Tamandua tetradactyla: one gene and its partners. The protein of the gene in region 1 interacts with the protein of each later gene in a biochemical or structural test. Links are inferred from orthologs where the notes say so. Each region holds a gene or a part of one and is shown on either strand. Other genes may lie near its edges. The genes, in order: OCRL, RAB8A, RAB31 and RAB6A.

What was found.
Region 2: the proteins of OCRL (region 1) and RAB8A form a complex in vitro, tested with the Homo sapiens proteins (2 studies listed by BioGRID and IntAct, with this or other methods). The link is inferred for Tamandua tetradactyla from reciprocal best matches to the Homo sapiens genes OCRL and RAB8A.
Region 3: the proteins of OCRL (region 1) and RAB31 form a complex in vitro, tested with the Homo sapiens proteins (2 studies listed by BioGRID and IntAct, with this or other methods). The link is inferred for Tamandua tetradactyla from reciprocal best matches to the Homo sapiens genes OCRL and RAB31.
Region 4: the proteins of OCRL (region 1) and RAB6A form a complex in vitro, tested with the Homo sapiens proteins (2 studies listed by BioGRID and IntAct, with this or other methods). The link is inferred for Tamandua tetradactyla from reciprocal best matches to the Homo sapiens genes OCRL and RAB6A.

Annotation. Positions count from the first base shown.
Region 1 is NC_135353.1:34,136,115-34,144,037, forward strand, and holds the start of OCRL (inositol polyphosphate 5-phosphatase OCRL), read right to left. Parts: upstream 3,002-7,923; 5' UTR 2,799-3,001; coding exon 2,760-2,798; intron 2,504-2,759; coding exon 2,424-2,503; intron 1-2,423. UniProt on the Homo sapiens protein: Catalyzes the hydrolysis of the 5-position phosphate of phosphatidylinositol 4,5-bisphosphate (PtdIns(4,5)P2) and phosphatidylinositol-3,4,5-bisphosphate (PtdIns(3,4,5)P3), with the greatest catalytic activity towards PtdIns(4,5)P2.
Region 2 is NC_135337.1:94,765,477-94,773,487, reverse strand, and holds the start of RAB8A (ras-related protein Rab-8A), read right to left. Parts: upstream 3,005-8,011; 5' UTR 2,938-3,004; coding exon 2,814-2,937; intron 1-2,813. UniProt on the Homo sapiens protein: The small GTPases Rab are key regulators of intracellular membrane trafficking, from the formation of transport vesicles to their fusion with membranes.
Region 3 is NC_135344.1:73,360,738-73,367,834, reverse strand, and holds the start of RAB31 (ras-related protein Rab-31), read right to left. Parts: upstream 3,006-7,097; 5' UTR 2,543-3,005; coding exon 2,420-2,542; intron 1-2,419. UniProt on the Homo sapiens protein: The small GTPases Rab are key regulators of intracellular membrane trafficking, from the formation of transport vesicles to their fusion with membranes.
Region 4 is NC_135334.1:72,222,541-72,230,008, reverse strand, and holds the start of RAB6A (ras-related protein Rab-6A), read right to left. Parts: upstream 3,017-7,468; 5' UTR 2,526-3,016; coding exon 2,456-2,525; intron 1-2,455. UniProt on the Homo sapiens protein: The small GTPases Rab are key regulators of intracellular membrane trafficking, from the formation of transport vesicles to their fusion with membranes.

The DNA of each region.
Region 1 (7,923 bases):
CAATTTAAAAAGTAAAAAAAAATTCTACTGAAATGTAATAATTCGTTTCAGAACAAAAAAGATTTGTTAAAAAGGCATATGGCAAAACAATGGAATCAGAATTTGATAGATGTCAAACAGAAATCAGTATTTGACATATTGTCAATGCTGACTCAGCATTATTCCTAGGAAACACATATTTTGATTTAAGGTGAACTAACAGGTACTATCATAATCTATTATCCTTGAGAAAAAGAAATGAACCCTAGTGTTTTGATGTCTCATTTCCAAAATATTTAGTTTTAATTGTAACATTGGTCTGTCAAGCAAATTTCTCCTGTGGTTGATTGGAAAAGCTCCAGATGTAAAGATTAAGATAGGCTTCAAGTTCTAGGATAAAAAGGTCAAAGGTAAAAAAAGTTCTGGACACCAAAGACAGAGAAGGTACCCAAGAAACAAGAATTTAAGGATCATAGATGGCATTAGGGTATTAGGGGATTCTAAGAAATTATTTCAAAAAGCAGACCACATAATTCTGAGATAGGTTACTGAAATGGTAGCCTCCGTACACAGCTGGGAGACAGCATAGAGTAATTAAGAGCTGGAGTAGCTGAGCTATGTTGCATAGATTCAAATCTCAAGTATGCTACTTCCTAACTGTGACCAAGTGACAAACTTGTGCCTCAATTTCTACATTGATAAAAGGGGAACAATGATGATATTATTACTTTTTCATATTAACCCTCATATGAAAAGTGCTTTGAATAGTACCTGGCACATATTAAAACCATTAAATGTTAGTTATTATACTCGTAACTTGCACAGAATTCTAATACAAGAATTTGATTTCTCTATGGGGAGGATTCAAATAGAACAGCCACTGCTGCAAGTTTAAAAGTACTTCTAGTACAAGAGCCCAGACAGGATGAAGTGCTCATGTCAAGGCCAGTCATTCACTCCCTTATTAGCCAAGTAAGCTGCAAACCTACTAAACCAAGGAACCAGATCCTGGGCTGTGATCACCTCAACAAAGCAGTTATTTTAACTAATCCTCATAATCATATTTGGCATAAAAGGAAAATAAGAGATAAAAATTTCATTGGTTTGCCCAAGAGTCACATCTCAAAAATAGCAGAAATGAGATTTCAACCTAGGCTCTGCATTCCAAATCCATTCTCTCTGCCCTATCCTAGCCTTGGAAGTGTCAGTTTGTTTCAGTTTTCAATTCACTTGTCTATTGAATTTAGTTTTATTAAACCAGTCTTCCAGGGATTGAGGAAACCTGGGAAAAACAATATGAATTTCCGACATCAACAGAACTGACTAAGCAGGACCTAGGGAAGAACTACTTTTATAGAATCAGGTGATGCTAAATTAAAGTGGCACCAACAGTGCAAGAAGTGGGCAGCCTAGGCTAGTGGGAATTTCTTTTAGGTTTAGACAGCACAGACACAAATCCAGTCTAGAGTCTGAAAGCAGGAATTCAGAGATACTGTTTTTAGGCAGAATCCAATGATGGGAGATGGTAGGATTTAAGTGGTCAACAACTTTTAAACTCAGAAGAAATCAAGAAATGCAGTGGACGCCCAAGAGAGGAGGCTTGGGCACATGTGGATGGGATAAGATGGTCACTATGGGAAATTTTTGAGATGAGGCTTTAGTGGCAAGGGAGTGAGATTAGCAGCTATATAATGACAGCTTATGAAAACAATCTTTTGCTCAATCAGTCAGCAGTCTTACTGAGCTCCTATGTGCAAGGCAGAAATAGAGTGGAAGGTGATACACTGATAAAATGTCAAATGTTTATACTTTTTCACATTTCATCACCTTTTCTCTACCAATGTGTGAGGCCAATGTGTGAGGCAGTTACTGGCTTCCACTAAACCATTACTGAATTAATGACCCTGCCTTGGGGCAAGTTGCAGGTCTTTGAATTTTATGGAATAGGGGGGTGGGGAGACTGGAGGAACCAGTTGAATGGGGTTAAGAAAAGGCAAGCCTGTAAGTTTAACAATGAAGCCTTTCTACAGGGCTTTTACTTTTCCTAAAACACTTCTGCATTTATGATTCCCCCAGTTACAACTCCAAAGAATGGCTATAAGGTAAGGTAGTTAATATTTTTATTTAACCGGTGACAAAACTAAGGCCCAGAAAGCTTTATTAACTTGCCCAAGGTTACACAACACACGTCAATTGCAGGGGCAGGAACTAAGAACCCAGGCTTCCTCCCTGTTCACGGAGTCCTCCCACTGAGCGATATAGACGCAATCTACCACTTAACGCAGGGGGAGAGCCCCGCCGTTGGAGAGCACTCTCGCACTTCACACCTGGGTCTGAACCTGTTGCCCGCAAAACCCCAGAGGGAAGAGGGTGGATGGTCGTGGTTTGGGGTTGGGAGGTAAGGGGAGGCTCCTCTCTTCTGTGGGAATCAGGTGGTTACTTACTCATATTGTCCGTTCCTCTGGGCTAGGGTCAGAGCGCAGGGTTCCCGGAGGGGCCCTTTCATCTCCATACCCTCGATAGTATGCGGACGCTAGTCAAGGGTCTCTGGAATCACGGCCGGAGAGGGGTGGCGTGGTGCGGTGCCGAGGCAGCCTGTCGCCCCTCCGCCCGCCCTCCCTGGCCCCCAGGCATCGCCTCCCGCGCCAGCGCCCCCTCCCCCTGCTCTGCTCGGCGGTTTCTCCAACTAGCCGACACCCTCCCCGGTGTTCCACAGTTCCCCCCCGATCCCCATCCCCGGGCCGATACGGCTCCCCCTCCCCCTTATCTCAGGCGGATACGGCAAGGGGCTGGGCTCCGACCGGGAACGGCGGCTCCATTGGGGAGGCCTCCGGGATCAGCGGGACTGCAGACTGCGGGCGGATCCAACGACGCTGCCTCCCTTGCCCTCACACCCACCTGCCTGCGCTACGCTTACTTTGCAGAACGGCTCAGCGCCGCCAGCCTCGACCCGGGAGCCCAGAGCCCGGAGCCGGGAGCTGAGAGCTTGATCCGAGAGAGAGCGGCGCCTCGCGCCCCCGCCAGTTTCCCAGGCCGCCGCAGATTCCGCCCTCTGCGGCCAAGCTGTGGAACTGCAGTGACAGACACGACGGACTGGGGGCGTCTTTACCATGTCCAGCAAGGAATGCATCTTAAATACTACCTGTGACGCCAGCATTGTTCTGGGGACTTTGAACAAAATGCAGTCATAACTATCAGGGGGCTCAAAAGGTGTTGGGCTAATCGGACTCATATCAAATCTAGTCGAAAAATCCTTATTACTGTTATAATGCACTATGCGGGTTATCCTATCTCTCAGATGTTCTTCTACCCTTCCTCTTCTTTCCACCCCCTAAACCAGAAAATTCCTCAAAGCTCAGACTCTTGCTCCTCCTCTGTCCCCTCTCAAGGTGATCTCTAGGCAGGGAACGTCCAAATATATATCCCTGGCACAGACCTCATATTTAATATACCCCATTGTTAACAAAATACACAAAACCGTATAACAAATCAAACTCATCATTTCACACAGGGGTCTAGGCTTGAAACTTCAAAGCCATATGCTTTCCTCTCTCTCCTGCTTTCTCTGTATCCATTCAACTTTGTTAATATTTTGGGGGGAATTACTTTTAGATTCCTTGTTTTCTCTCCATTTGTTTTATTTTCAGCCTTTGTGATATCCTATCTGGGTTACTGCATTTCCCCCCAAATGAATCTCGTTGTCTTTAATCACTGTTTTAACTATTTTATTCTCTTTACAGTGATAAGAATATTTTTCCCAGAGCAGTGTTTTAATTACTTTTATTCATTTGCTCAAGAATCTCTAGTGGACGAGATACCAAGAGTGATTCTAAAACTATAGTAATTAAGACAGTATGGTTTGGAGATAGATGGATCAATGGAACAATATATAGAACAGACCCACACATATATGGAAAGTTGATATTCAGCAACTGTGCTCGTTTGAAAGGATTATGTACCCTAGAAAAGCCATGTTTTAATGCCGACCCATCATGTGGAGGCAGCTGTTTCTTTTAATCCCTATTCAGTACTGTAGGTTGGAAACTTGATTAGATCATCTCCACGGAGATGTGACTCATCCATTGTGAGTATTAAGCTTTGATTAGAGGGAGATGTGACTCCACCCATTCCAGGTGGGTCTTGATTAGTTTACTGGAATCCTTTAAAAGAGGAAACATTTTGGAAAAAGCTTCAGAACCAAGAGAACCATGAGAGCCCATGCAGCCAGAGACCTTCGGAGATGAAGAAGAAAAATGCCCCCTCGGGGAGCTTCATGAAACAAGAAGCCAGGAGAGAAAGCTAGCAGATGTCACCATGTTCACCATGTGCTTTTCCAGTTGAGAGAGAAACCCTGAACGTCATTGGACTTCTTGAACCAAGGTATCTTTCCCTGGATGCCTTAGATTGGACATTTCTATATCCATGCTTTAATTTGGACATTTTCATGGCTTTAGAACTGTAAACTTGCAACTAAATAAATCCCCCCCCCCCTTGTTTTTGAATGCTGTATGGTGGGATCACATTTCATTTAAATTCCCCTTTTTAAAAGCTGTTCTGTTTCTCGTATATCACATTCCGGCAGCTAGCAAACTAGAACAGAATATATGACATTTTAAAACAGCAGGGAAAGACCAGATTATCCACTAAATGGTGCTGGGGCTATTGAGTATGCATATGGAAAATTATAAAATTTTCCTACCTCGCACCATATAGGAAAAACATTATTTTAGGTGGATTAAAGATATAAATGTGAAAAGCAAGATTTTACAACTTTCAGAAGAAAATAGGAGAATATCTGTACAACCTTGGAATAGGGAATGAGAGTGATTACTTAAGACACTGGAAAGTATAAAGAATTAAGTGCAATGATTGATAAGTGTGACCATGTTAAATTTCAAAATATATGGCTTCAAGTCAACTTAACCTAGTTAAAAGACAAGCCACAGACTGGGAGAAGATATTCCCAAGGCATGTGACCAAGAAAGGATGACTTCACGACTTCTGGCTATCATCACCTTTCTGACTTCCTCTCCTGCCACGTTCTCCAACTCACTCTGTTTAGTCACATGGATTCCTTGCTGACCTTAGGACTAATCAGGCCTTTGCACGTGCTGTGCATTCTGCCTGTTCCCTCACACCCTTCAGGTCTTTGCTCAAATGTCACTTTCTCAGTGAGACCTTCCCAGATCACTTTATTTAAAATTGTAATTTGATAATCCCCTTCCCACACATGCTCCCTATCCCTCTTCTCTGTTTATTTTCTCTCTGTAGGATTGACCAGTATCTGTTGTATCTTTATTTTATTTATCAATCTAAATTATTGTTTACTTTCCTCCATACAATGTAAGCTCCTTTAGGGCAGGTGTTTTTGTCTGTTTTGTTTATAGCTGTATTCTTTTTTTTTTTAATTTTTATTGTCAAACCTTAACAAACATACTAACATTCCTAATATAAAAACATTCCTGACATACATTCTATAAATGGTGTACAATCAATGGCTCACAATATCATAGTTGTGTATTCATCACCATCATAATTTTTTGAACATTTGCATCTCTCCAGCAAAAGAAAGAAGAAAAAGCTCATATATCTCATACCCCTTACCCCTCCCTCTCATTGACCACTAGTATTTCAGTCTACTCAATTTATTTTAACCTTTGTTTGCCCTATTGTTTGTTTATTTTTTATCCATACTTTTTACTCATCTGTCCATACCCTAGATAAAAGGAGCATCAGACACATGGTTTTCACAAATCACACATCCACATTGTAAAAGCTATATCATTATACAATCATCTTTAAGAAACATGGCTACTGGAACACAGCTCTACAATTTCAGGTACTCCCCTATAGCCATTCCAATACACCATAAACTAAAAAGGGGATATCTATATAGTGCATAAGAATAACCTCCAGATTAACCTCTCGGCTCTGTTTGAAATCTCTCAGCCACTGACGCTTTATTTTGTCTCATTTCTCTTTCCCCTCTTTTGGTTGAGAAGGTTGTCTCAGTCTCTTGATGCCAAGTCCCAGCTATCCCAGGATTCCTGTCCCATATTGCCAGGGAAGTTTACACCCCTGGGAGTCACGTCCCACGTAGAGGGGGAGGGCAGTGAGTTCACTTCCCATGTCGGTTTAGAGAAAGGCCACACCTGAGCAACAAACGAGGCTCTCTGAGGGTGACTCTTAGGCCTAATTTTAAGTAGGTTTAGCCTGTCCTTTGCAGGCATAAGTTTCATAGGGGCAAACCCCAAGATCGAGGGCTCAGCCTATTGATTTGGTTGTCCCCACTATTTGCAAGAATATCAGGAATTCTCCAAATGGGGAAGTTGAATACTTCCTCCTTTCTTCCCATTCCCCCAAGGGGACTTTGCAAATACTTCTTTATTCACTGTTCAAATCACTCTGGGATTTATCGGGGCATCACATATAGCTGTATTCTTAGTACTTAGAACTGTTCCTGAGATAAAGGAGATGCACAAAAAATACTGATTAAATGTATGAATGTATAGAGAACTAAAAATCAGTAAGAAAAAAGCCAGATAGAAAAGTTGACAAAATATATGAATCAGCTATTCACAGTCAAGGAAACCCAACTGGCCAATAAAGATATGAAAGAATGCTCAGTTTTATTACTATTCAGGAAAATGCAAATGTAAACCATGAGATACCATGACTGCTAAAAGGAGGATAAATTGGTAGAACTGCTTTGAAGTGCAATCTGACAACGTCTAATAAAATTGAATATGTAATACCCTTCAAACCAGAAACTTCATTTCTATGTATAAACCCTGACAAAACTCTAACCTTTAAGCACAAGGAGACATGTAAAAGAACATTCATTGCAGCATTATTTGTAATCTCAAAAAAAACTTGGAAGCACCTTAAATGTTCATTGGTAAGTGAATGGATGAATAAATCATTGTATTCATGAAGTTAATACTATCTTGAAATGAAAAAGAATTAATTAGTGCTAAATGTATGACATGTTTAAATCTCAAAAATATAATGCTTAGCAAAAAGAGCAAATTGCAATACATATATATAGTATGCCAGTTATATAAAGCTTGAAAATATCTGTTGTTTATGGCTATCTAGATCTGTAGTGATAGTATATAAAACATCATCACCAAATTTTTTTTTGTTTTTTAATTTTTTTACATGGGCAGGCACCAGGAATAGAACCCGAGTCCTCAGGCATGGCAGGCAAGCACTCTTACCTGCTGAGCCACTGTGGCCTGCCCATCACCACCAAATTTAAGGAAGGAAGATGATTGCGATTGGTGAGGGGTACACTGAGAATACAGACTGTATCTGTAATATGTATTTTCTTAAACACAACCTGAAAGTTAGTGTTGTAAGATTTGATATAACTGGGTGGTGGGTACCTACATTGATTATGTTACTCTATGTATTTTCCTGCATTTGGAATCGTTTGCAATATTTGAAAATGAAAAATAAAGAAAAATGTGTAGGGGAGGTTAGCGGTGTCAAATGCTAAAAGTAGGAGAAAGAAAATGAAGATTGAAAGACTTTCTTTGAATGTGTCAAGGATGTGTCATTACAGACCACTAGATGTATGGTTTCAGTAAGTGGTGAGGGTAGAAATGAGATTACAGGAAATTCAAGAGGGACCATATCATGAGGAAATAGAGACGAGAGACCACATATTGAAGGGGTTTGAAAATAAAGAGGAGTGAAATACAATTTTAGTTAAATTAGTTGGAAGGGTCAAACAGAGGTTACTATGGAGGCTCTTTAAAGCAAAGTGGCAGGGGTGGGCCACAATGGCTCAGCAGGCAGAGTTCTTGCCTGCCACGCTGGAGACCCAGGTTTGATTCCCGCTGTCTGCTCATGCAAAATACTACTAAGAATAATGATAACAAAGCAAAGCGGCAGGAGCCAGTGAAGAGAGGACATATAAGATTCTAGAAGAGAGTGGCA
Region 2 (8,011 bases), on another chromosome or scaffold:
TTCAGGAAACTATAAGTAATGGATCTGGAAGGCCTGTGGAGGTGAAATAACTGAACCCTGCCTCTGCCTCTGCCCCTGCCCCAAGCAAGGGGAAGCTGTTCCAAGGATGCGAGTTCCACCCTCACGAGCCTCAGGAGGTGTCCTGGGAACCAAAGTGACCGGACGTCTATGATTCAACAACCCCCCACCCCCACCAACTAGAACATACGTTCCCTGAGTGCAGGCGATACGTGTGTTTCAATCACTCCTCTACCTCCAGTGGCTCAAAATGGCAGGGGCTGAACAAAACACCTGTCAGATGCCCAGCCCTGTGCACAGGCTTCATGTACCTGTCTGCTTCCCTGATTCACCTCTGCAGCCCCTGCCCTGAGGCGTTTGCTGGCACAGGAGGCATGGGTGGAAGATGGCTGGAAGAGAGAATTCAGGGCAACAGGGCGTGTGTGGAGCTGTAGGATCATGAAAGCCTTTCCCGGACATCATCTATCTCACTGCAGGAATGAACGGGCCCCGAGGAGGTGCTGGGTGAACACAGCCCGGTCACCGAGAACTGATTCCAGGAGCCACAGGCCAAGTCCACACCACAAGCAATCAATGGAGCTGATGAGAAGAGCCTCTGGCAAAACATCCCCTGGGCAGCAAATGAACAGCCACGCAAGCTCTGATCTACAAAGAAAACCCAGGGATACAGGCAGTGCCAATCTAGAAATCACCTTTATGCACTGAGTCATATTTCAGGACTTAGAAGCCCAATGTTGGCTTGTCCTAAACATTTCTCTACTTCCTGACACAGATGTACTGGGATCCAGGAAATCGAGATGCACGGCTGAATATGCAGAGTCCAAGACAGCACTCTGCTCTGCACATCTCCTAGGTTTTACGAGCACACCAGATTTAATTAGGATGCAGCAAGTTTATGAGGGCTAAGAATTATGAGGCCATGACTTCAAGGTAACGGCAAATTTAACCTTCCCGGGCAGACAGAGAGCTGCAGCAAAATTACACATGTGATAGGAAGAATATTGGGGTGGCGGGGAGAAGGCTGAGTTCAACTCCACCTCCACCTTTCCGCATGACCTTGAGAGAGCTGTATTCTTGTCCGTGAATGGAATAGTCCAGATGCCTCCTTCCTGGGGCCCTAAAGGTGCTGCATGGGGTTTCAGGGTTGAAGATTTAAAATCCAAATGAAAAACTCAAGTTCAGAATTTATCTCACTGGGGCACGTGAGGAACAAGCTGGAAAACTGAGGTCTGGGGCTGAGCACAGTGGGCCAGGAGTTAATGTCACTTCCTGGTTGGTGGGGAGGCAAGAGTTATTCCAAGGGCTGACCTTGAGGGTGGAGGGGGGAGGATTCTGATACACTTGTGCCCAGGGAGATGCTACCACCTCAGGAGCCATCCTGCTGCCTCTAGGTGGTCTCGACCTCTTAGTCCAGGTGGAGTTCTGATCCTCAGCCCCAGGCCTGGCCAAGGCAGAGAGCTCTGCTCTTAATCTGAAGACATCGGTCTCGGAGAGGTGGAGGGACTCCTCCAAGGCCAAACAGCTACTGGAAGGCAGGTCTGATGCCCTCTGGTCCAACGCTCTCTACCTTACATCTAACACTTGACTTGATTTACGGCGCTCTAGGTGAAGGACAAGGATGGATTGAGCACCCTCGTCATGGGGTTCGAGGAGAAACAACGACTTGGTCAAAGTTACACGGGGATAAAACAAAACCCACCCACTAGGTTTTCTCCACTCAGCTAAACTCTCAGCTCTGGCTGAGGCCACTCCGTTTGGTCGATGTTCCTGACAGATCCAGCTTTCTCAAGTGAGCAATGACTGCTTTGTGGAGCAAAGAGAAGTCAGCTCCATTTTGGTGGATGTCAGAACTGAGGTGCAACCAGCCAATTCTGCTCAACCACAATGTGGGCTGGCTGTGTGGGAAAGCCTCTTTTGCAAAGTGACAACCGACATCCTGGGCCACGCGATAGGGAAGCCGAGGCTGCTTGCGGCGGAGGCTGGTTTTTGTTTCTCACTGAGGCTTTTTTATCTGGCAACTCCTTGCAGATGAGGATCCCAGGGTGGACAGCTGTCACCCGTCATTGCTGTCACCCTCGACTGGGATGGAAGGCAGGGCAGGGAAAGGTCACCAACTCCCTCTCACTGCTCCTTCTAGACAAAAAATTCACCCATGGGAAACAGGACAAAGGAGAGGGCTCAATTTGGGGACATGGCTCTGGGGTCTCAGGGCTGTGTGCTGGCGTCCATCTGCGACAGCTGCCCCCGGCATTTTGGGGTCAGGCACCCCTGGGTTCTAAACCCATCCTTGCTACCTGCAGACCGTGTGACCTTGGGTAAGTCCCTACTCCTCCCCTCAGTCTCCTCTGTAACGCAGAGTTCTGCTCGGGGCGTGAGAATGCACAGAAAGAGCCTGGCCACAAGAACAGGGGCTCAGCGAGTCCCGACCCCACGGTCAATTCCCCAAGCCTCAGTGTCCAGTTCTGCACGTCGGGGGGCCTCCAAAGGACCGCCTGGAGGTGTGCTGCGAGCACAGAACGAGAGGACGGGCGCGAAGACCCCAGGCCACGACAGACACTCCTAGACGAGAGGCTGAGGATGGGAGTCTCAGTTACCCCACCTGCAAAATGGGCACTCGCCCCGCTCCCTGCGGCCCGTGGAGCCCCCGAGGGGAAGCGGAGGCGGGGGCTCTCCGCCCCTCAGGGCCCCTGACGCTCTCCGACCCCTCCGCCCTCCCCACCTGCTCCTCAGGGGCGCGCCCGGACCGGGCCTCTGGCGTCCCCACAGAGGCCCCGGCCGCTCCCCGGCCGCGTTACCTATGGTGGAGATGAACGTGGAGTTGAAGGCGTCCTCGGAGAAGCGGAACAGGACACAGGTCTTCCCCACCCCCGAGTCCCCGATCAGCAACAGCTTGAACAGGTAATCGTAGGTCTTCGCCATATTACACTCTGTCTCCGACGGGAAGTGCGGCCGGCTCCTCGCCACTGGTCGCCGGCCCCGTCCATCAGCGCCGAGCCCGCCCACCATTGGCTCCCGGCCCGCCGAGCGTCATCGCGGCCGACGCCCGCCCCCGAGGCCCGCCCAACGCGCGGGGCCGGAAGCGGTCCCAGCGCGCCTCCCATTGGCCGGCGTTCGGGATAGGGCGCGCTACGATTGGCCAGCGGTGAGTAGTCGACGGCCTTCAAACGGGGAACGGGACGGAGGCGTGACCTCCAGTGGCCACGCCTTCCCGCCCGCAATTCTGGGGAGGCCCCGCCCCCTTAGGGGAGGGGTGGAGGGCAGGGAGCGTCGCCAACGGCCCTGTGCGCCGGAGGCTCGGGGGCGGGGTCTAAGGACTGCGCACGCGCCCTGGGGAGACCGTTGGGCGCCAGCAGAGGGCGCACACGCGTGGTGGGGCGGGAGGGATGTCTCCGGGGTCCGCCCTCAGAGTCCGCGCAGGCTCAGTAGACGGCGGGGCGAGCGCGGGAAGGGACGGTGGGCGGAGGCGGCGGCTGGAAGCCTTGGTGTTGGGTCTCGGGGTGCTGAAGAGGAAAGCAGGGAAAGGGCGCTCGTCGCGGTCGAGGAGCGGCCTCTGGAGATGTGCTCCGGGAGTTCCGCCGGCCTGGGAGCCCGCCTGGGGATAACCCGGCCTCCGCCACCCCAGTCCCCTGAGGCGCGTGGGCCTCCTCAGGACGGGCCCGCGGACCTAATCAGAGGTTGTGGGGACCCCCGAGATCTGTCCCCACGCCCCGTCCGCCCTCGGAGGCGCGCTCGGGGGCCTGAGGGGCCAGGGGAGGCGCGCAGGCCGCCTTCTCAACACTTCATATCTTGAACCCTCGCACTGACCCGAGGCCGATGTTGATTGTTGATCCCCGTTGCGTGCGGAGGAAAGGGAGGCCGGCGACAGGTCACTTTCCCTGCTACGGAGGTGTGTGAAGATGGGTTTTGCACCCGAGGCGGGGGCCAGCTGCAGACCCCGAGCCCTGGATCGCTCCCCTTCCCGCCTCTCAGAGCCCGAGCCGCCTCGCCGACGTGCCGGCTGTCAGCCTGGCCTCGCGCCTCAGGCCGCCCCCGGGGCACCGCGAGAGGCTGCTGGAAGCCCTTAAGGTCCTTCCCAGGAGAGGCTCGGCCTGGCTCCAGGATGGCCCGTCTAGCTCTGCTCAAGAAACGCTTCAGGCCGCAGCCTCGGCGCTGTTCTGACCATTGGTCACCTCTGGAAAGGCTCTTTTCCTCGGCGCTTTCCCCAGCCGGCCCGTGGCCCGCACCCAGTTCTGCCTCTCTCTGGGTGCTGCGTCGCACCCCGTCAGCGCCTTTGGGCAGATGTCGGCTTGTGCCTTGAGCGGAGCTCCTTGTGGCTCTATGTCCCGAGCCCTCTGTTCGCATTTTCGGGGCCTCTCATTCACTCTGTGACTTCCCAGGCCTCCAAGGATGGTTCAATTTTTCATTCATCGCCTCCCCATCCCTGCGTCTCTGGGGGCCTTGACTTCTACCGCTGGATTTGTCAAAAGTGCTTTCAACTCAGCGTGTGCACCGCTGAACTCATCGTCTTCCACTCCAGCTTGCTGGTCCAGAACTGTCTTCTGTGTGAAACCTGCCTTTGTGGCCACCACCTCCTCACCCCTTACCTGCGGGCTCTTGGGGAGGTTCTGAATAGCTCCCGAATCCTCCTCCTCCATTTCAGAGTCACAGCCAGGCCCTCACATCTCCCTGCCGGTCTCTCCCAATCCTGCAGAGTTCATCCCAAGACACTGTCCTCTAAGCATAGCCATCCCCCTGGTTGAAATCCTTCAGTATTCCCTGAGCAGGGTAAAGCCCAGAACCTTTACTGAGTGTACAAACCCCTGCCCCCCGCCACAGTCTGGCCCTCACCTCACCCTGCGATCCACCCGTGTGCCACAGGGGTGGGCGGTTGCGGAGAGCTGGAGTGGGTTGGGTTAACAGGCGGTGAGCACTTAAGCTACGTGCTGAGGCACAGGACTGAGTAAAACAGTTTCCAGAGAGAAGGTGGTGGTGGGAAGGCTGAGAACAGAACAGCGAAGAGAAAACTTCAATCACGCAGTGGTGTGGCAGGGGAGGGGGCTGTGCGTTATACATTATTCATGGCATCTACCCTCTAACCAGGCTCAGTGTCAGGACAATGTTAATATGAGGGAAGTGCTTTTCACTGCATTTGATAACAATTGCTGGCATCCTGTATTTAACTTTTTGAAAAGCTTTCACTTCTCTTTTTGATGCATTTCCTTCCCTCCCCACCCCCAGTTAAGGAGCTCTTGAGGCAGGATGCCAAAGCAGTTCAGGTAGTGAAACTGCAGTGGTCTCTGACACCCTCTTCTCCAAGCTCCCCGCCATGCAGTCAGCTACTCTTAAGGCTATTTCCATCAGGCCATCTCTTGCCTCCTATTGGCAACCACTATCCTGGATTATTGAAACATCTTCCTGCCTGAAAACAAAACGCTTAAGTTGATTTTCCTACTATACTGCTGTGATCACTCAAGTCGTCAGCCACACTCCACTCCTGACCAAATTGACTCCAGATTCTCATCGGTCTGAACCCAGCCTACCTTCCTGCTTTCTCACTTTGACTTTCCTTTTGATGTCCAACACACAGGAAACCTCGCCCTAGCAGATAACGGGACCATCTTCCCAGCGCGGCTTGAGCAGGACCGGGAATGACACAGGGCAGAAGCATTTGAGTTCCTGAGGCAAAATGCTCTCATGTGTCATGTGGCACTCATAATCCTTGCATCATGAAATCATGGTATAAAGCAAATAAATAACATTAACTAAGTTCTTGGCACGGTAATCTTCTTTTCCTTCTCATTAACATTTGTTGGCTATTGAGACCCAAAGTGCCTTTTACTCCCCTACACATCCCAAAATTCACACACATTGTAGTTTATGTAAAAATTTATTTGGCCAAAATGTAGAAAAAGTGATACTATTACATATGATACAGTTGCAAGAAAGTGTGGGTTTTATTCAGTTGCTCAGTTTGCTAGTGTATCTCCTGGGTAGTGTGATGCTTAATAAATAGGAGTGAGGGGCAGGGGATTTGGATAAACTAGAAGCAGGGTCACTTTTTAGCCGGAATTGTAAACTTGAGTTGGCCCCCACACTTCTGGGGAATGTGGAATGTTTCAGTTCTGAGATGTTAACTGAGAAAGCAGAACTATCGCAAAGGTAAAATGTGCAGTTCTGTCTACAAAATGCTCCAAATCCAGTTTAATCAGGAGTTTCTTGGTCTTTTACTCACTTGATCCCGAAGAAGGAATTAAAGTCCTAAATTTAAAAATCTTCAATTTGCCATTCTCTGAACTATGGAGATGAAGTTGGGTCAGTAGCCTTTTCATTCCAGCTTTGCTGCCAGAGAGACCCCTTCTGCCTGGTATTTGTTGATTAAAAAAAAACAAAAATCCTTTTGCCCAATTTACTGATGGCTTGCATTCTCTTTGATATGGCAGCCGTGAATTGTTCTGAACTTTGCCATATCCATTCCTCCAGAGCGGATGGCCTTACTGAATAGGGTAGGCAGCCAAGGGGCATTATTGGAATAAGCCATCTGCTCCCCAGAGGCCAACTTTAGAATGAAATAAACGTCAAGGATCTATCCAGAAAATGTGGGTTATTATTATGACTGTTTCCCAAGCATTCCATGCTGACTGCTCAGAGGATGTTTGCTGTGTACAGTGGAGTGTGGAGAACAGCCAAGATGATTAGGCTACTCTGCATGTGGTTTATGACTTTCCTTAAGAGTCCTTTTTTCTTTTCTTTCTTTCTTGCTCTGGATGGAAAATCCCCACCCATTCTAATGTGATGGTCCCTCGCCTCCTGTAGTGTGACCAAAGGTGAGCCCAAATGGTTCTGTTCTTCAGCCTTTTAAGTTGACCCATGACTAGATATTGGAGTCTGTATTCTTGAAAGTGTGGGGTTGTCTAGTCTCCCAGGAACCAAATACCCTGCCTAAGGAATAAATGCAACATAAGGGTAAAAAGAGAGCTGAGAAAGCCAGTGCCATGGAAAAGAGGAAGGAATTAAACTTAACAGGTGCTCAAAGCGTCTCTGATAACAAAATATTTGGTCATGGATTCATAGGTTTGCTCGACATTTCCAGCAAAGAGAAAGATGCGATAACGAAAGAAACTTCTTACAAGAGAAGAGAAAGACCGGAGCTCTGAACAAGACTCTTCTGTTTTGGTTATATACAGTTAAGTTCGTTTAGCGTCTGATCCAGTGTCTGATGTAAGCCCACGTTCTCTTCTTTGGCCTGGGCAAGTTTTTCTGGTGAGGATTAAGAAAACAGGGGGAAAATGAAATTAATATGCATTTTTATAAAACAGAGGGAAAAGAAGGTTTCCAAACCCAAAATGCCAAAGTGAAGGTAATAGCGGAGAAAGTACTTTGTATTTTAATTACAGCAGAACACCAGGATAGAAGAGGGACCAGTTCCCAAATTCAGGAGTCACACATGGTTGTAAATAATTTGCCGGGTACCTGGTTAAATTTGAATTTCAGATCACAACAGTTTTTTAGTATATACCCCAAATATGGCATGAGACATACTCAAATATTCCTCATTGTCTATCTGAAATTCAAATTTAACCAGGTGTCTTGTATTTTTATTCACTCTGTCTGGAAACCCTAGTGTCAGAACACCTGGGTTTAAGCCCCAGAGAAGGCACTGAGGTAAGCCATTTACCCTTTTTTTAGTCTTAGTTTTCTCACCCATCAAATGGGGGCTATCACTGTATGGCATGGAACTTACGAGGAACAAATGAGAAATGTTCTAGAACCTAAGGAGTGCTACACAGACCTAAGATTTTAGTCCCAAGTATCGGGGACTTCATAGCTTCCCCCCCAGTGCCAGTTAATTAATCCCCAAGTCTTTGCTAGAAGCCTTTGGAAGGAAAATGCAATCCTGTCACCTGTCTTTCCTTTGGAGCGTCAGAGAGCGGCTCTTTAAATTCCAGTCCCATTTGTGTTGTTGTGTGTGTTTACCCAGAGCAGTGCCGTCAACCCCAGGTAAATGTTACATAAC
Region 3 (7,097 bases), on another chromosome or scaffold:
GGGCCTAGGGTAGAGGTGGAGGCCACAGTGAGTCATAGGTGAGGATGGGAAGAGGGACCCACAGGTATTTGAAAATGCTCCACAAACGATTCTGACGCATACCCCACAGAGAAGGTCTGGTGGGAATAGTGACACTGAGCCAAAATGTACCAGAAGGACCTGAGGGATTGGGTCAGGTTTCGTTATTGCTCAAGGGACAATGCCTGCCGGACATTGCTAGAAAGATGCCCCACTATATGGTTTCTATCTGTTCTCATGTGACGAAGAAGCTACCAATGCTGAGCCATACTTTCCGCGAAGGGTTCAACTTAATAGAGGAAACAAGTGTGGTAAGAAAGAGTTGCTGTCCTGCCTCTCTGAGCTCCCCCTCCCCCCCACCCCCACTCCCCCAAAGAAATGCTGGTTTCTGAGAAAGAAAGAAAAAAAAAGTATATTAATAGAATCTCAGGCTTAGAAAGCAAATGTGATGATCATCTAGCCCCAATCCTGAACCCTGGGCATTCATTCCCCCACCACGCCCCAACCAAATTTGGTTAACTTGACTGAAACATTTCAGAAAGAGGAAGCTCACCAGGGATCAAAGAAGGCCATGTGAGGTTCTGACAGCTAGAACTTTCTGCTGTAATTTTGAGCAAAATCTGTTCCATCCTCAGCCCCTCAGATGCCCTCTGCAGCCAAAGACCCTTCTCATGAAGGTCCTGTATGCATCTGAGGTCTCCTATCGCCCAGGTGTCATGACAAATCCAAGGTCTTTGCTCTCTGATGAAAACAAGGCCAACAGTAGATGCTTCAAGAAGCTCCTTCCCTGCAGCAGGGAAGCCCTCAACTGCCTTTCAACTGCTCGTTCAGCTGTGGAGGAAGCAGAAATCACTCTACAATCATTGTCAAGACAACCAAAATCCAAATATACATCTCTTTGGGATTCCATGAGGGAGCAGTTTTGAAGTGCACACAGAGGAAACAATAAAATAAAGATTCTCTCCTCCTCTTTTTCTCCCTTCTCCCTCTCCTCCTCCTTTTTGCCACGTGGTGATGTGTGTTGAAAATGCATACTGGGAACCGTTCCACCTTTGGGGTTTAAACAGCTGCTGCCTGAATACTGTTTTTGTTAGTTATTTTTAACATAATTTGCGGATTTTATGGGGGGGGGCTGTTTTTAAGCTACATGTTTCATAATCCTGGTTCAGATTACTAAATAGGATGCTTGGCACTTTCTTGGCAAGAATGAGACCCACGGGGCCGTTAAGTGTCTAACAAGGATCACTCGTTGTGATCCCCTGTCCCACACGTCCTCCTGAATGGCGAGCTTCCCTAAGGGGCCCAGCAGTGCCCCAAGAGAGGGCATTCACACAGGCTCACTGAGGTGTAACCACGTGTAACAGACATGAAAAGGTTCACACGTGGTTGGGAAAAAAAGGGAGAGAACCAAGAATATAAGAGGTAATTCCAAATAAACCTAATGCTCTTGAGTTCTTGGTTTCTCACAACACAAAGCATTCAGAGACGGTTCCACAGACCATTGTTAATCCCATCTGGGAGCACTCACGGAAAAAAATAAAATCAGACCCACCTAACGTCCCAGGAAAATGATGAGAAGCATCAGGTTCTGAAAGACCCAGGCATGGGTGAAAAAGACATGGCCTGTGACCTACCCTCACCTCCAACTGTTGCAAACAACCCTACCGTGGGAAGGCAGAGTCCCCAGCCCACCAAGAGAGGAAAAGACCAGCATAGCAACTGCCTATGCCCAAAACCAGCCTGTGCCAAATGAGAGGCATGTCCTCAAATAAACCCTGAATAGCCAGGGCACAAAAAGCCAAGCCCCTCAGTCTCCCAGGGAAATAGGAAGGTTTCATTCACTGGGCCACCAAGGGCCACCTTTTCTATCCCATCCTAGGATGGGGACAAACCAAAAGGGATCTCAACAGGGCCAATGGAGGCGTGGCTCCTGGGGTCTTTGTCACAAGAGACTCCAGGAAGATGTGGTGGTGTCCAAAAAAGAGGAAGCTGAGTGCTGGTGGTATGCCAGACCACATCCTGGAAGGACAGACCTTCCTACACAAAGACCAAGAAGCTAACAGGGTTCCTGTTAAAAAATCTGCAAGAATTTCTGGACTTAGCATGGACTCTCTCTTCCACCCACTTCAAATCAAGACAGAAAACCCTTGGATCTCACCCAAATGCTGTCTTGTCCAGAGAACGGCCCTTCTTGTAAGAGCAGCTCTTGTGCCCCCAAGTCAAGCCAAACCAGGGTACTGAGCAAATATTACTAAGACTAGAGAGTAAGGTCATTCGCCCTTCCATATAAGATAAGCTCTGACCTAAATAAAATTTAAAACACAACCACCACAGAAAATGGACACCACAGATACGGTGTGTTACCACGGGTGCTTCAAAGCCTCCATCTGCCTAGAAATACCTCCTTGGTTTGCTCTGGCATCTGCTCCAAGTTCAAATCCCCATCAAGTGATTCACTACATAGCAGGAGTGAACAAAAGGTGAGGCATTGCCTGCAGGAAGCCTCTAAAACAGAGTGTTTCATTCCTGGAGATAAGAGGAGGGGGGTGGAAATGAAGGGATATCCTCCAGCTTTCTCATCTCCCAGGTTTCCAACTGTCACCCTGGAATCGCAGGTTAACAGGAAATAGTCCCCTCCCTTAGAAGGAAGATGTTACCATGCTCATTTTGTAGATGAGGCAAAATGAGTGAGTTGTCCAAAAATGTGCAGCCAGTTCGTGGGCAAGAATGAGAACCCATGTTTCCTGCCTCCTGAGACAAGATTCTGCCACCTGATCAGTTCCTTGCAGAAGGATATAGAAACTCATCCCTAAATGCCAACATTGGAAAGACGGAGTCATAGATGGGATGGAGCCTAAACTGATGACAAGGGAGAAAACGTTTAAAAAAAAAAAAGCAAAAACATTCCCCACTTCGTTTCTTCCTGGGGCCAATTCTGACACACGCAACATACGCAATGCTGCCTCCTGAGTCCTCGGAACCAAACATTCCTTCCAAGTCTCTGGAGGCCTTTCCTGGGGCTACAGCAATTCCTCCCAAGGAAACATGAAATGATTCCCCATAAGGAATTCACGCCTGGATTCTATTAGCAAGCCCGGGCGACACTGACAACAATCAGCAGAGCCAGAGCAGGACACAAGGGTGCCAGGGGGACAGGGGGTTGGTGGGGGTCTGTGCCCGAGAGGGGGTGGGGGGGACAGGGTCAGATGCCCTGGAACCATAAGCAAACCGGACAAGCCAATGTAAAGAATACTTTGGCGGAGGGCAGTGATGGGCGAGTCAAGAGCACTGTCCTGCCCAAGGTTCAAGAAGAGCTTGAGGGAGCCAGGACTGGATCTCAGTTTAGCACAGCTGGGTTCTAACCCCTGGCAAGTGGCACAGGCTGGTGAGATGCTCTAGAATCATTTCCTCTTTAAACACTTCTGTGCGTCCACAGTCACAGCCCAGTTAACATTTCTTTGAGACAAGTAAGAATGGCTCTAATCTCTTCACTGTTCTTTTTTAGTAAATGGTTTTCTTAGGAGACCAGATCTGCCAACCAGAAGGGCGGAACACCCGGCGTGGATGCCAAAGGCTGCTCAAAACACAGTTTTGAACCAGCTCTTCTTCTACAAGAAGTAATTGTAGAAATTGATGTGGCACCCACAAGGAAATGACCCTGAACACGAGCTGACTCTCCCCAGGGCGGAAGGGGGGTGCCCCAGGGGCTGATCTGTGTCTTCTCTGGTCTGCCAATCCAAACGGCTGTGTGTGTGTGTGTATGTGTGTGTGTGTGTGTGTAGTGTGTGTGTGTGTGTGTGTGTGTTGCTGGCCGTTTTTACATTTCTCCAGGGTCAGAAAGCCCCATGTGAGCGAAGGGAAGTGGTGATGGGGAAGGAGTTTCCTAGCCTGCTGCTTCTTTATCCGAGGCACAAAAGTTTTCCAAACACACTAGCATGCAGAACTTTCTTTCTTCACCCTCCAGCCCCGCCACCCTCTCGGTTTTCACCCTGGCTTGGGCTTTTTTTTTTTTTTTTTTCTTTTTTTTAAAGGAGTGGGGGGTGGTAAACATATTGCCCCCAGGAGGCAAAAGAGGCCTCGGCCACACTTGGCCAAGTAACGTAAACTTTCCGCCGGAAGGAAATCACCACAGCGAAGCGGCGAGCCCAGCGAGGCGGGAGGGGCGGTCGGTGGCCGGGACCCTCACCCTCCGGCTAACCCCAGGGAGGGATCCGGCGGCCCTGGGTGGGGAGGGACAGCGCGCGTCCCAGGGTCCCGCCAGACTCCAGCGGGGCAGCGGGGGAGGGCCAGGCCCCAGGGCCGAGGGCGGCTGAATCTCCGCCTGGACTGGGCTGGGGTCCCGGGAACCGGTGGGGAGCGGAGGGGCAACGGAACCCCGGCGAGGAAATGAACGCGGGAGTCCTTGAACCCCGTCCTCGGAGCATCTGGGCTCCCGGCGCAGGGGCGCGGGCGGTTGCACCCCGCCTGAAGCGGGCAGGGATCGCCGGGAGGGGGTCCCGGGCGGGGGTCCCGGGAGGGGGTCCCAAGCGAGCGGGCAGCCCCGGCGGGGTCGCGGCGCCCCAGGACTCACCCCGAGAAGACACACTTTGAGCTCCCGTATCGCCATCATCTGCTCCGGCTGGGCCGAGGCAGGGGCTCTGCATCCTCTGGGCCCGGGTCCCACAGCCCCGGCCGCCGCCGCCGCCGCTTCCACCCACCCCGCGAGCGCACTCGGGTCTCCGCCTCCTCGCCGCCAACCAGCCCGGCAGCAGCGGCGGCCTGCCCAGGAGGCTCCGCCCACCGGACCCGCCCCCGACTAAGCCCCGCCCTGGCCCCGCCCCACCCCGCCGGTCTGCTGGCCGCCCCCCACCCTGCCCTCCCAGACCAGCTCAAGTGGGCAGAAACCCAGCGCCCGGAACCGTAGCTAGAAACCCGGAGCGCCCAGCAGTCACGGCACGAGGTCCTTCTGCAGCCTTTCTAAACTAGGAAACAAAAGGACTGCAACCCATCTAAGGGAGGCTGTTCTAAATTACGTTCTCTTTCCTTCTCAGTGTATCTTCTGGTCTGCCTCATCCACTCCGTGGCTTCATTTGTTACTGCCATAAAAATGTCAGCCTTCGGGCATACTACCCGAATAAGTCACTGGCATTTCAAATCAGAAATACGATTTTTTTAAAAAAATCCCAAACCCTTGAGCGAGATTTTCAATTTTGATAGACGGCATTTCCATTCTCACCCACCTTAATTATCTGGCTCTGCTGCGGTTGAGACCAGGTTTAAACTACCCACCACCCAAAAGCCCCATGCAATGGGGACTTCCAAATCGAGACCTTCAGAGAGTAAAGTCCTAGAAGGCTGGAATCAAAAAGACACCCATATAAACACAATTGTCAATGAGAGTCCCCAAGCAGCAGGACCTTCCCACGTGCCACGTGCCCGGTTGTGGAAGGTCATTCATTCATGCAGCTCTGTACTACAGTGTTCAAAAAGTAGCCATGGGCCAAGGTCAACATCTTTTCCTAGCTTTCAACTTTGGGACTATTGTGTCAGTATCTGTCCTTGGTTTTGCATTTAAAGTACAGAACATCTTCTCTATGGGCAGAGTGAAACAGAATTCCCAGTCCTGGGCACAGCAGAGCCTTGTCTTCTCCTGTGTCTTCAGGGGATTCCAGCATGTGGGCCATCCAGCTGGCGGTGTTTGAATCTCCATGTTTATGCAGGCACGCCTGGCTTTTCCTCTTGCTTCCTAAAAGTTGGCCAATCCACATAGGTGGATGGTCTCCAGATTTCAAATATCATACTTAAAGTAAAAAAGATGGTATCTTCAAAACAAAAATTTAAAAGAAAGAGTTCACCCATTGCGAAAATACCTCCTGCTGAAAAAAACCTATCCAATGGAACAAAACCCCAAGACTTCATCCCATAATTTCAAAGTGCAAAAATGTTGATAAACCAAAATCGATACCCCAACTTAAATGAAGAACCAGCATGATAAAATAGTGGTGCTAATTTATTACTAATTCACAAGGGCAGCTTATGAAAATTGAGTCATTGTTATAATTCTTTTTATTTTTTCTTTGTAGCTATAGCAACTAAACAGTAGGAAAAGTGTCATTTTCCAAGATAAGAAATTCCCCTAAAGAAATTTTTTCATAAAAGAGTTCAGGAGTGGGGGGAGGGGTAAAGCCCATCAAAACACAGGGAAATTTTCTCATTTTCTATACCCCATAGAATGAGTGAGGGTTAGTAAAGCTGCATTAAGTCACAGAAGGCAGGACTGTCCCCAGACAAAAATGAGAATCACCTTGGTCTGCTTGTCTTTCTCTTATCCCCAGCGCCATTAAACATTACCTTGTTTTTGCCTCATTCTGAAGAGGACATGCACTCTGCTTTACAAAGTAGCAATTCTAGGCGGTCATCCGACCACGCTCGTGGGTTGACTCGCCTTCTCAGCCAGGTGGACCTGGTGGACAACTGCGACCTTGGGAAAAAACATGCCCCCATGGTCAACCCAACTGAAACACAAAACTAGCCCAGGAGGGGGAGGAGGGAGGAGATGAGGCAGCTCTCAACTCTTTAAAGATACCTTGTTCTCCATGAATGCTATCATCATGCTCTTACATAGCTGAATGAAGGACCCACCTAGAGTCCTTTGGAATTTTCTGCAAATAAATTCTGATATAGCTTAAGCAGGGATTAAAAAAACAAAGTCAATGGGACATAATTACCTGATCAAAAAAGTAGAACATGCAAGTTTTCTTTATGGACCTTTGTAAAGTAAAAGGACATTGTAGTAATTCAGACTTCTGCTTTTCTGCTGCTTTAACGTCTTCATCAACATCATACCATTAGAAGATGGTGTCCAGACTTGAAGTGTTCTTAGCCTGTGTGGCGAAGCCCCATCATCCTTCAAGGACCTACTCAAATTCCACCTCCTTCATAAAGTTTACCCCTAAGCTTCTCTCAGCATTTACTCAGCACAAAGAAACTAACTAGCAAACCTGCCGGCTTGTGCAAAAACACACACACACACACTCAAAAAAGCAATGAAATATATTAAAGACACCCCAAAATCATCTTACAAATGTAGTACATCTACA
Region 4 (7,468 bases), on another chromosome or scaffold:
AAGAGGAGACCAAGGAGATATAACTAAATGTAATGTGGTAGCTTGGATGGGATCCTGAGGGGAAAAAAAAAACAAGCGGTAAAAACTAAGAAAATGTGAATAAACTAGGGGCTTTAGTTAATAAAGTATCCATACTGGTTCTTTAATTTTAAATAATGTACCATCCTAGGAAAAGATGCTAATAACAGGGGAAACTGGGAGGTGGGGGTGGGAGGTATACCATCTGGGAACTCTCTGTACTAACTTCTCAATTTTTCTGTAAATCTCAAACTGTCCAAAAATTAAATCTAAGTAGGGTGGTGTGACAGTGGCTCAGTGGCAGAATTCTCACCTGCCATGCTGGAGACCCAGGTTTGTTTCCCAGTGCCTGCTCATGTTAAAAAAAAAAAAAGGAAAATTAAATCTAAGTAAAAACAAAAATAAAAAAATGACTCCAGGAATTACCTGAGGGGAGGGGAGGGGAGATGAGATTATCAAAGGTTTTAAGAAAATATAAATGAGAAGCCATGAAACTCTACAATGTGAATTAAAACATAAATACACTTAAATTCAGATCTCTACACATGCTAAAACCATCCTAGGAAAGAGATTAAAGAGTTTTTCATGCAAACTAAATAGATGCATCACAACACAAGGCAGGCAATAATATCCCTAAACTGAAAAATAAGCACTTAGATCCTATTTACCAATGTTGACCTACAGACTATTTTTCATGTACGGCACTGTCCTGATATTGCCATAAAATGCCTGGATCAGAATCAATTCCTTATGTTCTACCAAGTTACTCATCTTAAAAAAAAACTTAAGGCGTACTTCAAGAAAATCTATAAGCAAAGAGTAGGCTTTATTTTTCCTTGGCAAGGGGAAAAAGATCTATGTATGAAAGAGAAAAATGATTGTTCAGGTGCAAGTGGAAGTAATTTTGCAGCTAATACTAGCCTACCTTAATGTCATATAAATTAGTTTAAATAGTTCACAGTATTAGTTAATAAAAGCTCTGAATTTGTATTGGTTCCTGCCTTCTAGGCAAAATAATGTTTTCTCTAATATAACCTAAGTCACCTAGTAGATACCCAATGTTTGATGATTTGGGAGGAACTTCTCACTCAAATTTGAATTTTAATGATGGTCATGAACAGTGTGAGAAAAACAAAAGAGGGTAATAATCTCTAAACAAATTTGCATACTGCAGATAGGAAATTTGTATTCGAAACATTTGCATAACAGCATAAAATTGGAATTACTAGAAGAAATAATTTTAGAGACAACCTTCACAAAATTAGGATCTCTTCTAATACAAACTACAGCAAGAGCAGAACTTTGATCAGGTTAAATGACATTAGTTTCATTCACCAAATACTATGGAACATTAGGCATAAAAGTCATTTACCCAAAGTATAACAAATTTAATTTAGATAACTCCCTAACGCTCCCCACCCCCAAGGAAATCCTACAAAACAAAGATATTCCTTATTCTCAAACCTCTCGAAGAAATCCTAAATATATGACTGGAAAACATACAAGAAGAAATGAATAATTAACATTTCCCCAGTCATTCCTGTATGCACCACCATGAGAAAAATAAGAGAGCGCTTCATGTTGAAACGAGAAAAAGGGGAGATTGAATGTGAAAAATTCCAAGTAAAACGATCATGACATAGCATCTGGCAGAGATCGGAAAAGCATCAACATTGCCAAAAGAATCGTCAGTGATTCAAGTCAAGAGAAGAAAATGAGGTTTTTTCCGACAAGCCAGAACCCAACTCAAGGAGCAAAAGCCTCCACGCCCGCCGCCATCCCTCACGCAGACCACCCAATTCACAAAACGCTTCCAATTCAGACATAATTCCGCTATAATACAGATTAATTCTACACCACGGTAAAAAGCATCCAAGAATTTTCTACCATCACCATTTCCCACCTTCCATAAAGATCCTCAATTCCCAAGCCAATCCCCAGGGGAAAACAACGCCCAGATACCACCCTCCTTGCCGAAGTCTGAGAAGGGCCTGTTCCCAGGAGCGGGGCTTCCAGGGGTGGCCATCACAGAGGCGACGAGCCCGGCAGAGTGCAAGGAATAGGGGTGGGGCTCAAGAAAAAGGGCTGGGGTAAGGGAGACGGAGACCAGAGGAAGAAAGAGATGGACAGGAGGCAGAGGCTGGGCGGGGTAAGGCCTGGGAAGGGCAGATCGGTAGGTGAGGGCAGGCCTGTGAAGAACCAGACAGCAGAGTCGGGGTCAGAAGGGCCAAAGGAGAAGAGTAAAATCGATCGACAGATCAAGGGACGGAGAAGCCAGGGAGAAGAGGGGTTGGCGAAGACAGGGAAGGGCCGGGGGGATGGAACAGAGCATGAATGCGAGGCCGGCAAGAAGCCTCCGCGGACTGAAGGACCGCACTGGGGGCGGCGACGGGAAGCCGCCGCAAGGTGCCAAGAGTGGGGGGAGCCGCGCACTCACCGCTTTGCTCCCCCAGGAACACTAGCTTGAATTTCCTCAGCGGATTTCCGAAGTCTCCGCCCGCGGACATGATGGAGCCGGAGGAGCTGCCGCCGCCTCAGCCCAGAGACCTTCCGGACCGACGATGCTCCAACCGGCTGAGGAAAAAAGCGAGAGGAAGGGCAGGCGCCCAGCTCTCTTGGCCCCTGCAGGGCCCGGCGGATGAGAAAGGTTGGAGGGCAGGACTCCCCACAGACAGGCAGCCGTCGCCGCCGCCGCCTCCCAGCAGAGTCGCCTAGCACCAAGCGAGGCCCGTGGCTCGGAAGGGAAGGAGGGCGGGTGTCGAAGCAACCAAGGGTGTACTCGAGGTTTCCAGGGCTAACTTCCTTCCCTTCTTCAGTACCTGGCACGGAAAGTGGGGTCAGAGAAAAGAAGAATGGCAAAACCAGAGCCTCAGACGCGTCTGGGATCTCTCCCACACAGCGCCTCAACTCCCTCAGCTGTCGCCGCCGCAGCCCAACCTGCTAAGTGCGCGAGCCTGTGGCGCGGCGCGGAAGAAGCCCGGGCGCGAGCCTGCCGCCCGGCGCCCGCCGACGTGCGTGCGTGAGTGCGTGCGCGTGCGCGCCACGACCATCGCCTTCCTGGTTTAGCCAGCTCTCCCGGTTTCCGGCGCCGCGGAGACTAGGGCAAGTTAAGTTTCCAGCACGTCGGGAGGAGCTAGGAGGGGCAGGACGGAGCCAAAGGAAAAGGAAAGGGTGAAATATGGAGTGCTTACGTCACGCTCGTAGTGAGCCAATCGGAAGAGGCCAAGGACCGACAGGGACGAGAATGAGGTGGCGGTGCGAGAACGCGCGCGGCCTTCGCGCTGTGAAAAGAGGCGCGCAGTGGCGGCCATGCAGAGTGTGGCGGGTCTGTCCCTAAGAGTTGAGAAGTAGGGGGTAGAGGCGGGGCCCGAACGGAAGTAGGGATTACCCCAGAGATGTACGGGTGGGGTCGGAGAGCACTAAAGTGTAGGCTGTGTTCGTCTTTCCTCTGTTCCCATCCCTGCCTTACATTCCTCGTGTCAACCTTTCACCCATGTATGTATCCACCCACTTTCTCCATCTTCTTACTCATCATAATTCCTCACATTGGCACTTAACTAGGTACATTCTCTATTGGTGCTGCAAGGAGTTTCATAACTGCCAGAAACAAGGCCTCCACGATTTGCAAATGAAGAAACTGAAGTCCAGAGAGAGGAAATGGCTTGCAAAATCCGCACAGCCGGAAAGTAGAACCCAGGTTTTCTCATTTTCTCCCATTGTATCTGTGTGGTGTCTTTATTGATAAGCCAGCGCACTTTCTTGGCCGCACTTTCTTGGCCTAACGGGTCGATCTATCGTCCTCAGATGCTGATAACTTGAACATTACACTCCACCGTGCTAGAGGAGTTTAAGTATCATGTAAACCAAATCCTTCATTTCACAGATGGTGAAATTGAGACCCATATAGAATAACGCCTTTGCGGAGAGACACACAACAAATTAGAGGCAGAGCTTGCGAAGTAGGTATTTTAAAGCTCTTCCTTTCCCCCTAAGCAGGGCTTCTGAATCACCGTAAGTGGACCTCCCTTAAATTAGCCATTGAAAGCATGTACATTTTTCGGTAGAGAGAATCCATAGCTTTCACCTGGATTTGTGATCTAAAAAACAAAGAATGTTACCGCCAAGAAGAGCCCAAGGAGACATGATGACTAAATGTAATGTGGAATCCTGGATGGGATACTGGAACAGAAAAAGGACATTAGATAAAAACGAAGGGAATCTGAATAAAGTATGGATTTTAGTTAATAGCAATGTATCAGTATTAACTCATGGTAACAAATAGACCATATTAATGTAAGATGCTAAAAATAGGGGAAATTGTATAGTGCGTATGGTATACAGGAACTCTATGATGTGTTCAATTTTTCTGTAAATCTGAAACTGTTCTAAATAAAGTCTGTTAATAAAAGATAAATAAAAGGCTAAGAATCTCGGAATTAGAGAATTTGGCATCCACACAACTTCCTCCAAATGTCATCACACTGTGGTGATAGAGTATGAAAGAGTAATCCCTGTGTTTTGAAGAGGTTACTTTTAAAAACTGGTATCAAAAATATTTCTCAAGTTAATAATAAATCCTTACATGTGCGTATAGTGTCTTACCATTCGCAAAATACATTTATATATATATTTTCTCATTATTCCAGGGTTATTACTTACTTAGCTATAGAAATGGCAGTATCAAAGAAGTTCCTTTTCAAGCCCAGGGATGAATTGCTGACCTAGAATAAATCAAGGGAAGGAAACTGTGCCAGTTTGGAACTGTTGTGTACCCCAGAAAAGTCATGTTCTTTAATCTTGATTCAATATTGTTGGATGGGATCTTTTGATTAAGTTCTTTACATGGAGGTGTGGCCCACCCACTTGTGGGTGGGACCTGTTGATTAAGTGGTTTCAATAGATGTGTGGTCACCAATTCGAGGTGAAGTCACTTACTGAAATCCTTTAAGAGGGTACCGTTTTGAAAAAAGCTCCAGAGCCAGCACAGACATTTGGAGATATAGAAAGAAAACACCCCCAGAGAAGCCGTTTGAAACCACAAGGAAAAGAATCAGCAGACAATACCAGGTATCTTCCCAGCTGTCAGTGAAAGCTTGAACATCTTCGGCCCTTTCCTGAGTCATGGTTTCTTTATCTGGATGCCTTCGTTTGGACATTTTTATGGCCTTAAAACTATAAACTTGTAACTTAATAAATTTCCTTTTTAAAAGCCGTTCCATTTCTGGTATATTGCATCCCAGCAGATTTAACAAACTAATACAGAACAGAAATTTTCAGAATATATCTAGAATACAGCTATATCCACAAGCCTCCTTTTCTGTCAAAATTTATTCACTTCTTACTGTTCTCTCCATTAAATGGCAAAAGAATTTGTGCAAATGTATTTTGAATGGAATGATAAAAACAGTCAGAATTGAACATTTGATTTTTTTTTTAAATTGCCCTTAAAAGTAGTTACTGGCTGGTGTTTATGGCAGCAGTGTTAGTGATTTACAACGGATGGAAGTGGCCTAAGGGTATGATATCTGAGGAATGGAAGGGGAACTGTGGTTTACACATACAATGGACTACTGAGTGGCTGCAAGAAGGAATGAAGCTGTGAGGCATACAACTATGTGAATGAACCTAAGGACCTTATGTTCAAATGTCAGAAACAAGAAGACAAATATTAGCATGCCTCACTCATGTGGACTAACTATATTATAAAAATGTGGTGAACTGAAGTTGAGAGCAGAGGTTACCAGATTGGAATTGTAAAGGATCCTAGATTTTAAGCTCTTTCAGCAGTCACATATATACAACTCCTGAATTGTAACTGTTATTTCTAAAATCTGATCTACTGAGCTATTTGTATATAACATGATTGTTCCCAGAAACTTCGGGTATTTATGTAACACCTGAGACTCAGAGTGCGAGCTCTGAAGCTATGAAAATCAGCAGCACCCCATTAAGGTACTGTTTTAAAAGTTGAAAAGGGGATCTAGCTTTGAATAGAAATATGAATGAAGCTGATCTGTATAGAACTGGGGTAGATCAGAATACAGGATAAAGAATAATATCGTCCATGTTTTAAAACTTCAACTTCTGTGTGAGACCAAAGGGAGAGATGTTAATTTGGTGCAGAATTTATATTTTGGGCAGCACATTATCTAATTTAACTAGTATTATCAGTTTAGTTGAACATCATAAGTACAGGGAATCTTGAATAAGCCATGAGATATTTTTGATTTTTCCAGATTAATGTGATGCTTGGATATATCCCAGAGTAATTTACGCAGTGAATAAAGAAGTATTTGCAAAATCCTCTTAGGGGGACTGAGGAGAAAGGAGGATATATTCTATATTCAGCCTCACCATCTGGAGAATTTCTGATATTCTCACAAGCAGTGGAGACAACCAAATCAATAGGCCAAGCCCTTAATCTTGGAATTTGTCTGTATGAAAATCATTCCTGCAAAGGATAGCTTAAGCCTACTTAAAATTATGCTTAGGAGGGTGGGCCATGGTGGCTCAACAGGCAGAGTTCTCTCCTGTCATGCTGGAGACCCGGGTTCGATTCCTGGTGCCTGCCCATGCAAAAAAAAGAAAAAAGAAGCACTTCCTGGAAGATGGCGGCTTAGTAAGACGCGCGGATCTTAGTTTCTTCTCCAGGACACCTACTAGAGGAGTAGAAACGATACAGAAAGCGCCGAAAGCCACAACAGAGATAAAAAAGACAGCGTACCCCATCCTGGAACGGCTGGCTGGCTGAGAGAAGCAGCTCGGGTGAGATCGCCGAGGCACGCGGGCCTTACCGGGTGGGGTGGCAAGCGGCCGGAGTTACTCCCTTCCCCCTTCCCGGGCCGGCTGGGAGAATTGGAGAGGCGGTCCCCTGAAACCAAGGCGGCTGGCGCCCACACCACACGCAGCCCCCCGGACCAACTGAGAGAACTGGATCGGAAACCCCCAGGCCGCGGAGAACGGTGACGGGTGGGGGAGGCCCCTTCCAAACCTGTGACTCCCGGGGAACGTGCACTCTCTCGGGCGGGCCGCTGCCGCTGGCGCCCTCCCGCCACGCTTGTTGCCCAGGGCCGACTAGGAAATTCGGACGGGCTCTTTCCCTGGCTGCGGCGACCAGCAACCCTCCCTGCGTTCGGACCCCGGGCTGGCTCAAGCCGCTTCGGCTAGCAAACCCCCAGGACGGCGAGAGTTTTCCAAAGTTTAAGGTCCCACAGCACCTTTTACTGGTAGGACCCGCAGACAAACGTGTGCCACGTGCGCCACCTACTGAGCAGGATAAGAAAAACAGAACCCAGAGATTTCACAGAAAAATCTTCCAAACTTTTGGATCCAATACCCAGGGAAATCTGTCTAAATGCACAGACGCCAACAGAAGATAACGGATCACGCTCAAATAATTGAAAATATGGCCCAGTCAAAGGAACAAACCAATAGTTCAAATGAGATACAG